Lytechinus pictus: one gene and its partner. The protein of the gene in region 1 purifies or fractionates together with the protein of each later gene. This does not show direct contact. Links are inferred from orthologs where the notes say so. Each region holds a gene or a part of one and is shown on either strand. Other genes may lie near its edges.

What was found. The genes of interacting proteins can lie anywhere in the genome.
Region 2: the proteins of U3 small nucleolar ribonucleoprotein protein IMP3-like (region 1) and something about silencing protein 10-like purify together in Homo sapiens (affinity purification with mass spectrometry; 3 studies listed by BioGRID and IntAct, with this or other methods). This does not show direct contact. The link is inferred for Lytechinus pictus from reciprocal best matches to the Homo sapiens genes IMP3 and UTP3.

Annotation. Positions count from the first base shown.
Region 1 is NC_087259.1:28,241,172-28,246,971, forward strand, and holds the start of U3 small nucleolar ribonucleoprotein protein IMP3-like, read right to left. Parts: upstream 3,316-5,800; 5' UTR 3,215-3,315; coding exon 3,081-3,214; exon of another isoform or gene 3,060-3,080; intron 1-3,059. Other genes in the region: cilia- and flagella-associated protein 77-like, read left to right, coding at 3,573-3,620, 5,323-5,663. UniProt on the Homo sapiens protein: Component of the 60-80S U3 small nucleolar ribonucleoprotein (U3 snoRNP). Required for the early cleavages during pre-18S ribosomal RNA processing. Part of the small subunit (SSU) processome, first precursor of the small eukaryotic ribosomal subunit.
Region 2 is NC_087258.1:9,776,666-9,782,465, reverse strand, and holds the start of something about silencing protein 10-like, read left to right. Parts: upstream 1-2,178; coding exon 2,179-2,183; intron 2,184-2,975; coding exon 2,976-3,174; intron 3,175-3,710; coding exon 3,711-3,945; intron 3,946-4,696; coding exon 4,697-4,815; intron 4,816-5,775; coding exon 5,776-5,800. UniProt on the Homo sapiens protein: Essential for gene silencing: has a role in the structure of silenced chromatin. Plays a role in the developing brain. Part of the small subunit (SSU) processome, first precursor of the small eukaryotic ribosomal subunit.

The sequences.
Region 1 (5,800 bases):
ACCAATCTCTTCCAAGATGAGTATACAGGAGGATTCGATAGAAGGCTGTGAAGATCAGGAAGATCATACTTCTTTGTTATCTCCTGCAGGAGCCGTATTGTTGGAGCGCCTAAGTTGAGCACTCCTAGTACCAATGAGGTCCAAACATTACATGTATGGACCTCATAGGCGACATCAGCGATAAAACCGGTTAGACATTGCCGTTTCTATTTGCACCCAAGAACTTTGGCAAATGTACGCCTTAATACATAGTGGATGGTAACAATTTAGGTATTAATTAGTTTTAAACATGATAAGGAAACTTCTACGACATTTGAAATTTAATGGATTGAGGTTAAACTTACATTTTCAGTCTTTTTTCTTGAATTCTTGGTGAGCGTTCCAAACGCTGTGGGGACTGATCAACTACGATGTGATTCACGTACTGGTCAGCTGATCGGTCAGGTGATCGGTTGGTTATCTTTTTGTCAGACGTTCATAATTTATATTACAATATATCAATCTTCAGTATCTTGATTTCAAGCATCAGTATTGCAGGGAAAAGTCATTATCGATTGGAATCAATGGCAGATCGGGGGGGGGGGGGGGGGGTTGAGCATTTCTGGCCTGTTCCACCTTTTGAGATTCATAGTCAATATTTTGGATGTAAAAAAAAAATGTCGTTCGTACAAAGTTAAGTCCCCCCCCCCACCTCCTTATGAGAATCACAGCAATATTTGTAATGGGGATATTTTGTTCATATTCTTTGCTCTTTTTTGTCCTTTTCTTTTTTGCTTCCCAAATTTATTTTACTTTGAACATATGACTTTCTATATTTAATGACAAACTTTTTTAGGGGGGTGGGGGCTTGCCAAATATAACGCGCGACAAGATGACCTTCTTTTTTTAGTGACAACTTTTTTTTTATTTGTCAAATTTTACGAGAGACAAAATGACCTTCGATCATTATTAATTAAACCTTTTTTTTGGAGGGTAGGGGGCTCGCCAAATAGTGACACACTTTTTTTTGTAAAATGTTATGCAAGAAAAAATGATCTTCAATCATTATCAGCTACCTTTCATTTTTTTTTAGGGGGGGGGGCTTGTCAAATTTTACGTGGGACAAATGACCTTCATTTTTTAGTGATTTTTTTTTTTTATACTTGACAAATTTTAAGAGGAACAAAATGGCCTTCAATCATTTTTAGTTAAAACCTTTTTTTGGGAGGGGGGCTTGCCAAATATTTCACAAACAAAATGAACTTCAATTTTAGTGACCATCTTTTTATTACTTTTAAAATTTCACGCAGGACAAAATGACCTTCACTTTTTTTTAATGTTATGTTATATCGAGATTTTTTACCTGACTGCTAAAAAAGCACGAATGCCTGTGAGCAAGCAACCAGGGGACCAACGGCTTAAGGTCCTCTCCGAGGGACCTGGTAATGAGGATAAGCCTTAAGGGCACTAGCGCACCACTTGGGAATCGAACCCGGGTCACCGGAATCCGAAACCCCTGCTCTACCGACTGAGCCATCGCGCCTCCGATATGTTAAACTTGGGGGGGGGGAGGCTTGCCAAATATTACACGGACAAAATGAGTCTTTTATTTTTAGTAACCATCTTTTCTTTTTACTTGTCAAATCTTACGCGAGACAAAATGACAATTTTTCTGTGATAACCTTTTTGGGGGGGTTGTCAAATTTTACTTGAGAAATTGCACCCCCCTACTTTGGAAAATCGAAGATTAAGATCATGAGTATAGCCTACATCTCAGAGGCATAAACAGATGGGGGCATGGCTGGCCATCCCCCGAGTGGATTTCACCTGAAAAAAAAACATAGGAGCAACGGAAGGAAGAAAGAAAGAAAAATGAAAGAAAGAACGAAAGGAAATTTAAAAAGGAAAGTAATGTGAGAACAAATAATCCGGGGGGGGGGGGGGGCTACTCAGATAATAAAAAAATCTGCCATCTGTAATTAAATTGGATTAGTTAATATCCAGAGGTCCCAGGGCTACCAACATACATGTAGCGCGGGCAGTGCATGGCGTACCTAGGATTTTCCACAGGGGGGCAAAATCGGCCACCAAAAAATTTGACAAGCAAAAAAAAAGGAAAAAAAGGCTCTTCAATGAAAAAGGTCTTCAATCGTACCAGAAAAAAAAAGTCTTCAAGCTCGCCAGGGGGGGCAAAATAGGTATTCAAGCTCGTCGGGGGGGGGGGCAAAATAGGTTTTCAAGCTCGTCAGGGGGGCCGGGGGGCAGAGATATGTAATTTGCATGGGTTTGTGACTCATCGGGGGGGGGGGGGGGCAGACTGCCCCCCCCCCCTAGGTACGCTAGTGCTCGGGACTTACATTACGTAACTTGTATCTTCCACATGCGACATGTACTATGCCCCCTCTTATATACCCCTGTTATGCCCCTGCACAGACTCGTCTACATTGATTTCGATATTTAAGCGTCATTATAAAATTATAGCAAAAAGAACGCCTTGATTAAAGGCCATTACCCCTAGAGACTCGCGAGCGTCATGTGACAACTCGCCCTGGATTTGCACGTACAGGATCCTATGGCGACAAAATCCATCGCAAGAGTTGGCCAGAAGAGGCGATGAAAACACAAAATTTGGAAAGAAAAGAACCCGTGAGTACCCGTATATTACATTATAATTATGAAATTAGTATATAATTGATAACATAGACCTAAATTTAGGCCGTAATTTTGATTAATTTGCTGGAAATTCAAGGCCAAAACGTACCCGTCTGGCGTCGACTTTTCCAACACGCGTTGGAATAGCGGTGTAGCCCCAGAGTGAAGTTGAGGGCTTCTAAGAATGTTCTAAACTCAAAGCGTGTGTGATCGAGGTTGACGAGTTGGCCTAGAAGCAGCAGTTTCCTGAGATCTATCTGTGATGAGACTGGAAGGAGGTCAGTGAGGAGGTAGACAATCTCGTCAGCGGCAGTCTTTGGGACCCCTAGAACTTGCTTAATCAGATGGGATTGAGCCCGGTCTAACTTTACAAGCATAGATTTAGTGAACTTGTGGATAAAGAAACGTAAAAAGAAACATATGGGACCACATAAAAATTCTGCACTTACTTTGTGTAATCTTCCCTCTTTTGAATGTGGTAACGCCGCATGATTTTTACTTCATGTAGGTTGTTGTCAACTTCCCATGATATAAAGTCAACCTTCTTCAGCAACTTCTGTTCATGATACTTCAATTTTCTCATGATTACGAGGTCTTTATTCAAGGCAAGCTGGCAAGATCAGGAAGAATGTCAACAAGTCGCACGTGGACTCACGGATATTCAGTCACACGTTTGTCGCCCTCTGCGACTCATCCCCATGGAGATGCGAATCAATACACGCCCAATACAGTTTTGTTTTGGTTACATGCACCTGTTCACTGTTAATGTTCTGCTTGTGTTGCGTTGTTGCATTGATGATGTCCATGTGAATCTCATCGCTTGTGAAAACAAGGCGTTAATGCAAGAACTGGCGGCGTGGAATAAGCTAAACTGGATATTATTTTAGGCTATACCGGTAGATCTAAATCCAATCTTCATAGAAATCGAAAGAGGAAAAACAATGAGTGCACCATCAACAGCTCCTTTTGACAACCCGCTGCTCAAAAAGGTGAATATTTTCGTATTAAATTTTGCTCTTGATTTAATGGTTAATAATATTAAGCCTTAAGGGGAGATGCTAGGTGGCCGGTGTTTTTGGTTCTATAGGCCTAAGTTAGAATTATTGAATAATGTTTAGTCTAAAGATCTAATCGCCCCACTAAGTAAAAATCTACAGTATTTCTGATTTATTTAGGCCTATATCAAGGGGTCGGGTCAACTCGGACCACGGGACATCTCGGACCGCGGGCCGAGTTGTCCCACCCATTACGAGATTGAGTTGTCCCTGATTCTATATCAAGGTCTAAGTTAGGCCTAGATCTAAGTTTGGGTCTAACATTATAGTATACAAATAATGCATGCAGCCGAGTGCGTTAGTGGAAATGCAGAGCACGCGAGGTTTCTTTAGATAGGAGTCGCACTGTGCACGAGCCGCTTGCGGCGAGTGCCCAGTGTGCTCCATCTGAAGAAACCGAGCTTTCTCTGCATTTACATTTACGCACGACAGAGCAAGTGCATTATTTGTTTTATAAAATAGCAACACAGAAACAATTTTTTTTAAAGTTACAGTACAGTTTTGTTGGACTTCTACCGCACTGGTTTGCTCGAGCGTGCAATGTCAATTTTCGTTGCACACCTTTTGCACTACCGTGCAGTGCACAAAAAAAGTTGGATGTCATGTGACGCGTATTGACCAATCGCGATGCTTGAAATAATACAGCTATTTTATAATAGAACCTAACAAAAAAGTAACTGATGCATCATCATTCATCATGCACCACCAAGTCCAAGGTCGAGATGGCAATCATAATTCATAATATTTTTTACTTTTACTTAGTATTCATGTTATTTAGCCCAGCCATCTAGGTACCCAACAGGGGTGATACAAACCAGAAAAAGGAGAGAGAAAATAAAATTGTTAAGATCTAGATGATGGATCTATTCCCAGAATATTTTTTTTTTTTTTCAATCGTTGATTGATGGTATGATGGGGTGTCCAAACTTCGCGCACTTTTCAAAAATATTCATCAGGCTTAATTTTGTTCACAAAATATTCATAATTTATACAAAACCAATTCAAGAAATAGTTACCACATTGACGGCAAGATCGTAAACTATAAAATCATGGACGAAAATGTTAAGTAGGTCAAGGGGTTTCGCCAGTATCGCGATCTCAAAATTCTATTCCGATCGGCAAATGCGGGCTGTGCTGGAAAACCGTTCAGAAAAGTGTGACCTAACTTCGCGCACCAAAGCTTTTGTGGAGATTTAAACAAAAACTCAAGCTCAAAAAGTGAAAGATTTATATCAGATTGATGGCAAAATGCTATGGAATCGGTTAGTACCACATTTAACTCACATTTTTGATGATTTCCGCTTGCAAAATGGTGATATCGTGATGCTTGTTGATTTCTTCAAAACGGGCACTAGTGGTGACAAATTTGCCGATCTTTTGCCAATATTTTCATGAATACTGAACTCATCCTAAAGAAGTTTTCATTACAGGGTAATTTTAGGTCGCTTTTCACGTTGATGATGTCAGATTTTAAGGATATTGGCTAGTTTTTGAGATAAGGACCGTCCGCGAAGTATGGACACGCGCGAAGTTTGGACACACTGCCATACTGTAGTGATGCTTGCACAATAACAAACTGTTCCCTACCAAGTACGAAAATTATTTTTCCTCTTTTTTTTTTATTTTTACATTCCAGTCTCAACTTGGAAGGCCTTTACAACGAGGATACAGCCTTCCGGCTGATGCCAACTTCACATATGGACGTCCCAACATGAGCAAAGATAATGGAGCCTCCGAAGCCCTATCAGGATGGTCTCCTAGTGGTCCCTTGATGCCCATCAGCAACACAGAACGTAAACCAGAAAGAGACTTTATTGCTCTCAACAAAGCATGTATAGGTGCTGGGTTGGTGACGGCTAGCGATCAGTTTCAGTACAGAGCAACACATGATGTCAGGCGCAGGATATCGGATGAAGAGAAGAGCAAGTCCAAAGTTAAGAGGATACCAGCATCCATGACCTTTGGAATCTCAACCAGGTAAAGAAAGATTTCTTCTTCCTCTTCTCCTCCTCTTCCTTCTTTTTTTTGCAGCAATCCTAATAAATAAGTCGATTATCCTGTTCGTAAATATCTGGTATTAATGAGCCATAGTTTTACATAAAATTGTTTTCCTG
Region 2 (5,800 bases), on another chromosome or scaffold:
ATATTAAAGCTTAATTTTTATCCTTTTTGATACTTGTAATAAATTGCATACAATGCTACATACATATTTTACACTCGGCTGCTTATCCCTCCGAAAAAAATTGTAATCAAATTTCCATTGTCTCTAAAATCAAAAGCTACATATTATACATAACAAATTGTGAAACAATCAAATACATCAGAAAATAGCACACTTGTATTTGTATTTGGTCATACAAAGTACAAAAGGCATGATAATTTTCATATGTAAAAAAAATCCCCCATTACATACATATATACAATACTAAAGTTGAAAAAGAGCTTGTAATTTATATCAGAAAAATAAAGAAATACATTAGAAATTACAAAAACAATATTTTAAACAAATTCATTTCGGAAATTATCTACATGATATTATATTATATAAATTATGATCACCTTCATTTGGCAAAAAAGAGGCGAGTAATTGTGATTTTGCTTAATTTGCATAATTTATTAGAATTAATTAGAAGAAATTATTTTACACATATAAAGAAGAAAAATTACAAAGTGACGTGATTACACATCAATTGAGCTTTCTTTCACCTTTCCATTGATACCTAAATTACTTCAAAGGGCTCAAAAATAAAGAAGTTAGAGCCTGTTGAAGACTTGAGTTTAAAATGGTCACAAAAGTCGGTTCTGTATTCCATTGACTTTACATTAAGACAATGACCACAAATTTGGATGAATATGCGCGACTTAAACTGGAATAACTTTATAATTTCTTGATGAAAATAAGAGTTCTTGGTACCATTTGAAAGGTCTTTTTAAGAGCTTTCAAATGATACCAAATTTATTGATATTTGATGATTTTCATTTTTTGTCACATACCTACCTCCTGCCTCCTCTACTCTCTAACTTTAATCCAGATCAATTCAAGCTCCTCCCCTTCCGTGGCCCAGATCTGTATTTTCCATCTGAGTCTTGGTTAGAAATTCTGCATTATCAATATTATAACTGTATGATAAGGGCCCCAAAGTCTACGCAGTCCCCCTTCAGGTCGAAATATAGCCTAAACGAATAACTGCATAACGGCACACACTTTGCTAACTGTATAATATTACATGACGTCATCTAACCCAGGGAGCCCGCGAAGCGGGCCAGAGCCCAGGACTCGTCCGTGTAATACTAGGCAAACATATATTCTCCAAAATGGGGTAGAATGTGGTCACAATATTAGCACTCCAAATAAAAGGGGGGGGGAAATGAATTATGCACTTACCTCGATTATATGGATGAAGGTCTATCGTGACACACTAATCCTGACATCAAGGCACAAACTGGACCCTCAAAAAAAGGAAAAGTTAGACGTCTATGTCGCGGTCGTTTTGGTATCGATCGGCCATTTTGTTTTCAATTTTGACAGAAGGAGAATGAACGAGACAGAACTTTTCCTTTTTTGAGGGTCCAGTTTGTGCCTCCAGTTTGTGCCTCGATGTCAAGATTAGTGTGTCACAAACTCACGATAGACCTTCATCCATATAATCGAGGTAAGTGCATAATTTATTTTTACCCCTTTTATGTGGAGTGCTATTGCGACCACATTCTACCCCATTTTGGAGAGTATATATTTGACTAGTATTACACTGACGAGTCCTGGGCTCCGGCCCGCTTTGCTGGGTTAGATGTCATCCTGCTAGCCACTCATTCTATGAACAAGGTTATGCCAGCTAGCCTATGATCACATGCCAATTTATGAATGAAAATTCATGCGCATTGCAAGGCTCCCAATGCCCAGCACAAATGGCATCAAAACAAGTGTGCAATTCTCTATCACCCCGTACCAAAATCGACATAGAATTTCAATTTTGAATATATTTTTCTCACTATTTTCTCAACGATATCGCGATCGCATAGTTAAGAGTATTTTTATTACTTCTCGCTTTTCTGTCAAAATCATACAGAAAAGCGCCATAGACACATGTTTGTCAGTTACAGAATCTATCGCAACGTATACAAAGTCATTGGAGTTCCGGGTTTCGGAGCGCACAAGGAATATGCAAGAAATTACTGAACCTCAATGATTTTCAAACGATACTTGAGCGATCCAATCACGAGCCGAGACCATTGTAAGTGTGGAAAACGTGACTGGATATCGTTATCGCTATCGATACTTTCGAATATTTTTAGGCCGAATTATTTTTGTGACCACGTGATCATGACGTGATCTGCACGATCAACCAATCAGCGGTCTCCGAATCACTGCCGTGAGCTGTGCGGAGCTTGGCTGTTTGTGCTACACAATCATTGGACAACATTTCGATGTGCCCTTGTCAGCACAAACATGTATCTGCGTGGTTCTAGAAAAAAATAGATAGCAACGACCACAAACTTTACATCTGCATGAGACGGATATTCATCAGAAAATCTGACTCTGGAAATTATCGAATTTCGTGCCAACTGGGCATTTCATTTGATGGCTGGCCCTAAAAATGCAGCCTATCTCATCAAAATCCCTGAATGGTGTGTATAGTGAATGTGTGCACAGACATGGGGCATCATTTTTTGTTCAATATGAAAAAGACTGGCCAAAGTTTTCCAAAGGAAATCATTTAGATCTATTTCTTTCAATTTTTTAATGAGATTTTGGCACACTTATAAGAATATAGGGAACACTGTCAACTGAAAATTTTTGTGAAATAAAAATAATTAAATTTTCATGTTAAAAAATCTTAAGTTAGTACACACGCAGACATGGGGCCCCCCTTCATTATCATTTGTCAGTTTCCTCTAATGTATATTACTTGTTAGTTTTGTTTTGATGTGTGTTATTGCTGATTGTATTGAAGCATAAAATCTATAATAATTATAATGTTCTATAGACTATACCAAACTTTACCATTAGTAGGTCTACCCAAGCAATGAATGAATGAATAATTACTATCCTTTCAAAGAACGATCCACACACCCCCTAAAAGTCTCAATAACATTGTTCCGTTTGTCTAACTTTGGCAGGAAAGGCGGCCATCGCAAGAAGGCGGAGGAATCTGACTATGACAGTGATGACCCTAGAGCATACGCCAAAGAGAAAGAACCAGACCCGTCTTCCAGGGACTATATCTATGATGAAGTTGACGAGTTTCATGCCAACAAAGAAAAAATCTCCTTGGATGTAGGCACAGCGCTAGGACCAGCTGATAGCTCTGACAATGAGGTACATGGATGTGCGTTCCATCTTACAAAAAGTTGTGATTTATCTGATCAACCATAACTCTGGAAAGCCAGCAATGCCAACTAAAATACATGTTTGTTCATAATTATATTAGATATGATGTATATTCGTACATTCATCGTTGTCTTGAAAATTTAGTATGCTCCCTCTTCGTTTACAAAAGGACAATGTACAAATTTCCTGGAGGAAATATTATGACATTGATTGATTTCTATGTAGTTGAGGTTGATGGGATCAATCAAAATTCTTTGTAAGACAGGACACTTATTGATCAACATCAATGAAGAAAATCCCAATTTCATAATTTTTTTGTAAACCATTTTTTGTGTCAGGTGTTGTGCAGAGATAACTTTAAAAAACTATTGATGTATCAGTTCAAAACAGTTTTAAGGTTGTTTTTTTTTTTTGGGGGGGGGGGGCGGGGGAAAAAAATGGAGACGGCAGATAAAGGCGATGAGTTTAGAACACTAACTTGGTTATCTTATCTTACCTCAAGTGACATTTTATTTTTGATGTAGGAGGAAGAGGTTCTTGGCTGGGACGACGAGGACGATGAAGAGGACGCCATCTTGAAAGAGAGATTGCAGCGCTTCAGGAGGCAGGAGAAGATGGATGAGATGGCGAGCGATCTGGAAGACGAGGAGGATGACGACGACGAAGGCGATGGGGATGCAGACAAGATAAGCTCCAAGGCGTGGGGAAAGAGAAAACAGAACTATTATGACACCGACTATGTGGATGATGACCTTCCAGGTGAGTGATCCTTCTTTGATAAAAAGTTGGGATTGGTTTCAAACAAGCTCAACTATGGAGAGCCAATATTGCCAGAATTTCTTATCGAGATTAAGTTCTCACTGTTCGTTTGTAGACAAAATGGAGTTTGATGCTGATTGGTTTAATCGATGATGGAAGCGCCATTCGACATCATTTTACAAGAATATTTTCTTGGGATATGAAGTTTGAGAAAACGAATGATGACATCATGTCTTTGTTTATTGCCTGACGAAACATAGCAACGTACATAACAACGTTTGATCCATCGTGAGACAACTGATTACTACTCTTCTACTCAATCATTCGCCACGATGAACCTCTTCCTTATCATCGAATGATAACAATGTTGGCCCTCTACAGTTGGGATTGATTTGAGTCAATTGCACCCTTCATAAGACACTGTAATTTCTTTGCATTTTGCATTTGTCTGTCGATGTTTGAAATTTTGAAGTTGCTTTCTCTCTTGGAATAATTGTTATGTGCATTTCTGTTGACATTCTTACTGTCAATAAAGATTAAAGTATCCAAATTGGATTCCAATTCACGATATCTTGATTGAAAGAAGAGAATCAAATCTATTACACCATAGCACTTTGAGGTGTAGTGGTCAGTGGATAACTCTCAGTCAGGACTATCTGAACCACAAGGTACCTGGTTCAATTCCCTGTTGATTGTCTTTTTATTTTCATTTTCATTCTTGTACATTTTTTTTTCATGACCACTTTTGTAGGTTTGGATCAGTTGGAGGAGACTGCCAACCAAGAAGCAGAAGAGAAAGAAGCCCTAGCCATCCAGAACAGAATGGCCGAAGCCCTCCAGGATGATGACTTTGGTCTTGATATCTTCAAGGTATGCATAAAATCATCTTTGTTAATCATATGTGAGCTATCATCTTCTGTTTGAAAGCCTGTTTCTGAATGCACTTGAAGAGAAAGAGCTACGTGTATAGCCACTCACATCAGGATGACTGAAGCCCCCTAGGATGATGACTTTGATCTCAATATCTTAACCCTAAAAGGACTGGGCTATTTGAGATGAATTGGGGGGCCATGATGGCCCCCCTTCTGATCTTGGTAGCCGTTCGCGCGATCGCGCCGAAATTTGGCACGCACATTCTTTACCACATAAACTACAAGCTAGTATTAAAAAAAAAAATCTGAAAATGTATTTTTAAAATCATTATTAATAAAATATGCAAATTTATTCATGAAAAACATTTGCATATTTAACACCCTATTTCACTTCAAATTTTCTTCTTTTTTTGCAGATTTCATCTTTGTAATCTAATATAAAGGTTTCCACAAAGAAAAATTGCGAATGTATTTTCTTGTTTTCAGAATTTCTTATGTATTTCATTGTTTTTTCATCTTTTGTTTTTCATTGTTTTTTTTTCAATGGAAATTATCACAGACCATTAAACAACTAAATTAATTAAGCAGACCACTTAGACTGAAAAATAATCACCTTTTTCTGAATTTCATCTCCCGTAGACTTTGTACACAAAGTATGAAAACGAGCCATTTTCGGCATGATATTGCCTCGTAAAAAGTCATGTGGCGTCGCGATGGTATACCCATGTGTCGCGAATTTGGTCTCAAAAGTTGCGCGAGAAAGTCATAAAATTTTGCGGCGCTATTTTTTTTTGCGTTTCGGAAATATCGCGCGAAGCATCGAGGGGGGGGCATCATGTATTTGTGTAGTGCATATATGTGACTCAGTTTCCAACAGGTCAACTCAAGATCAATATAAGTTTATAAATGCATTCATTTCCACTTGATGTTAATATTTGCATTATTTTGATTTATACAGAGCAGTGAAAAACAAGTAGAAAAAG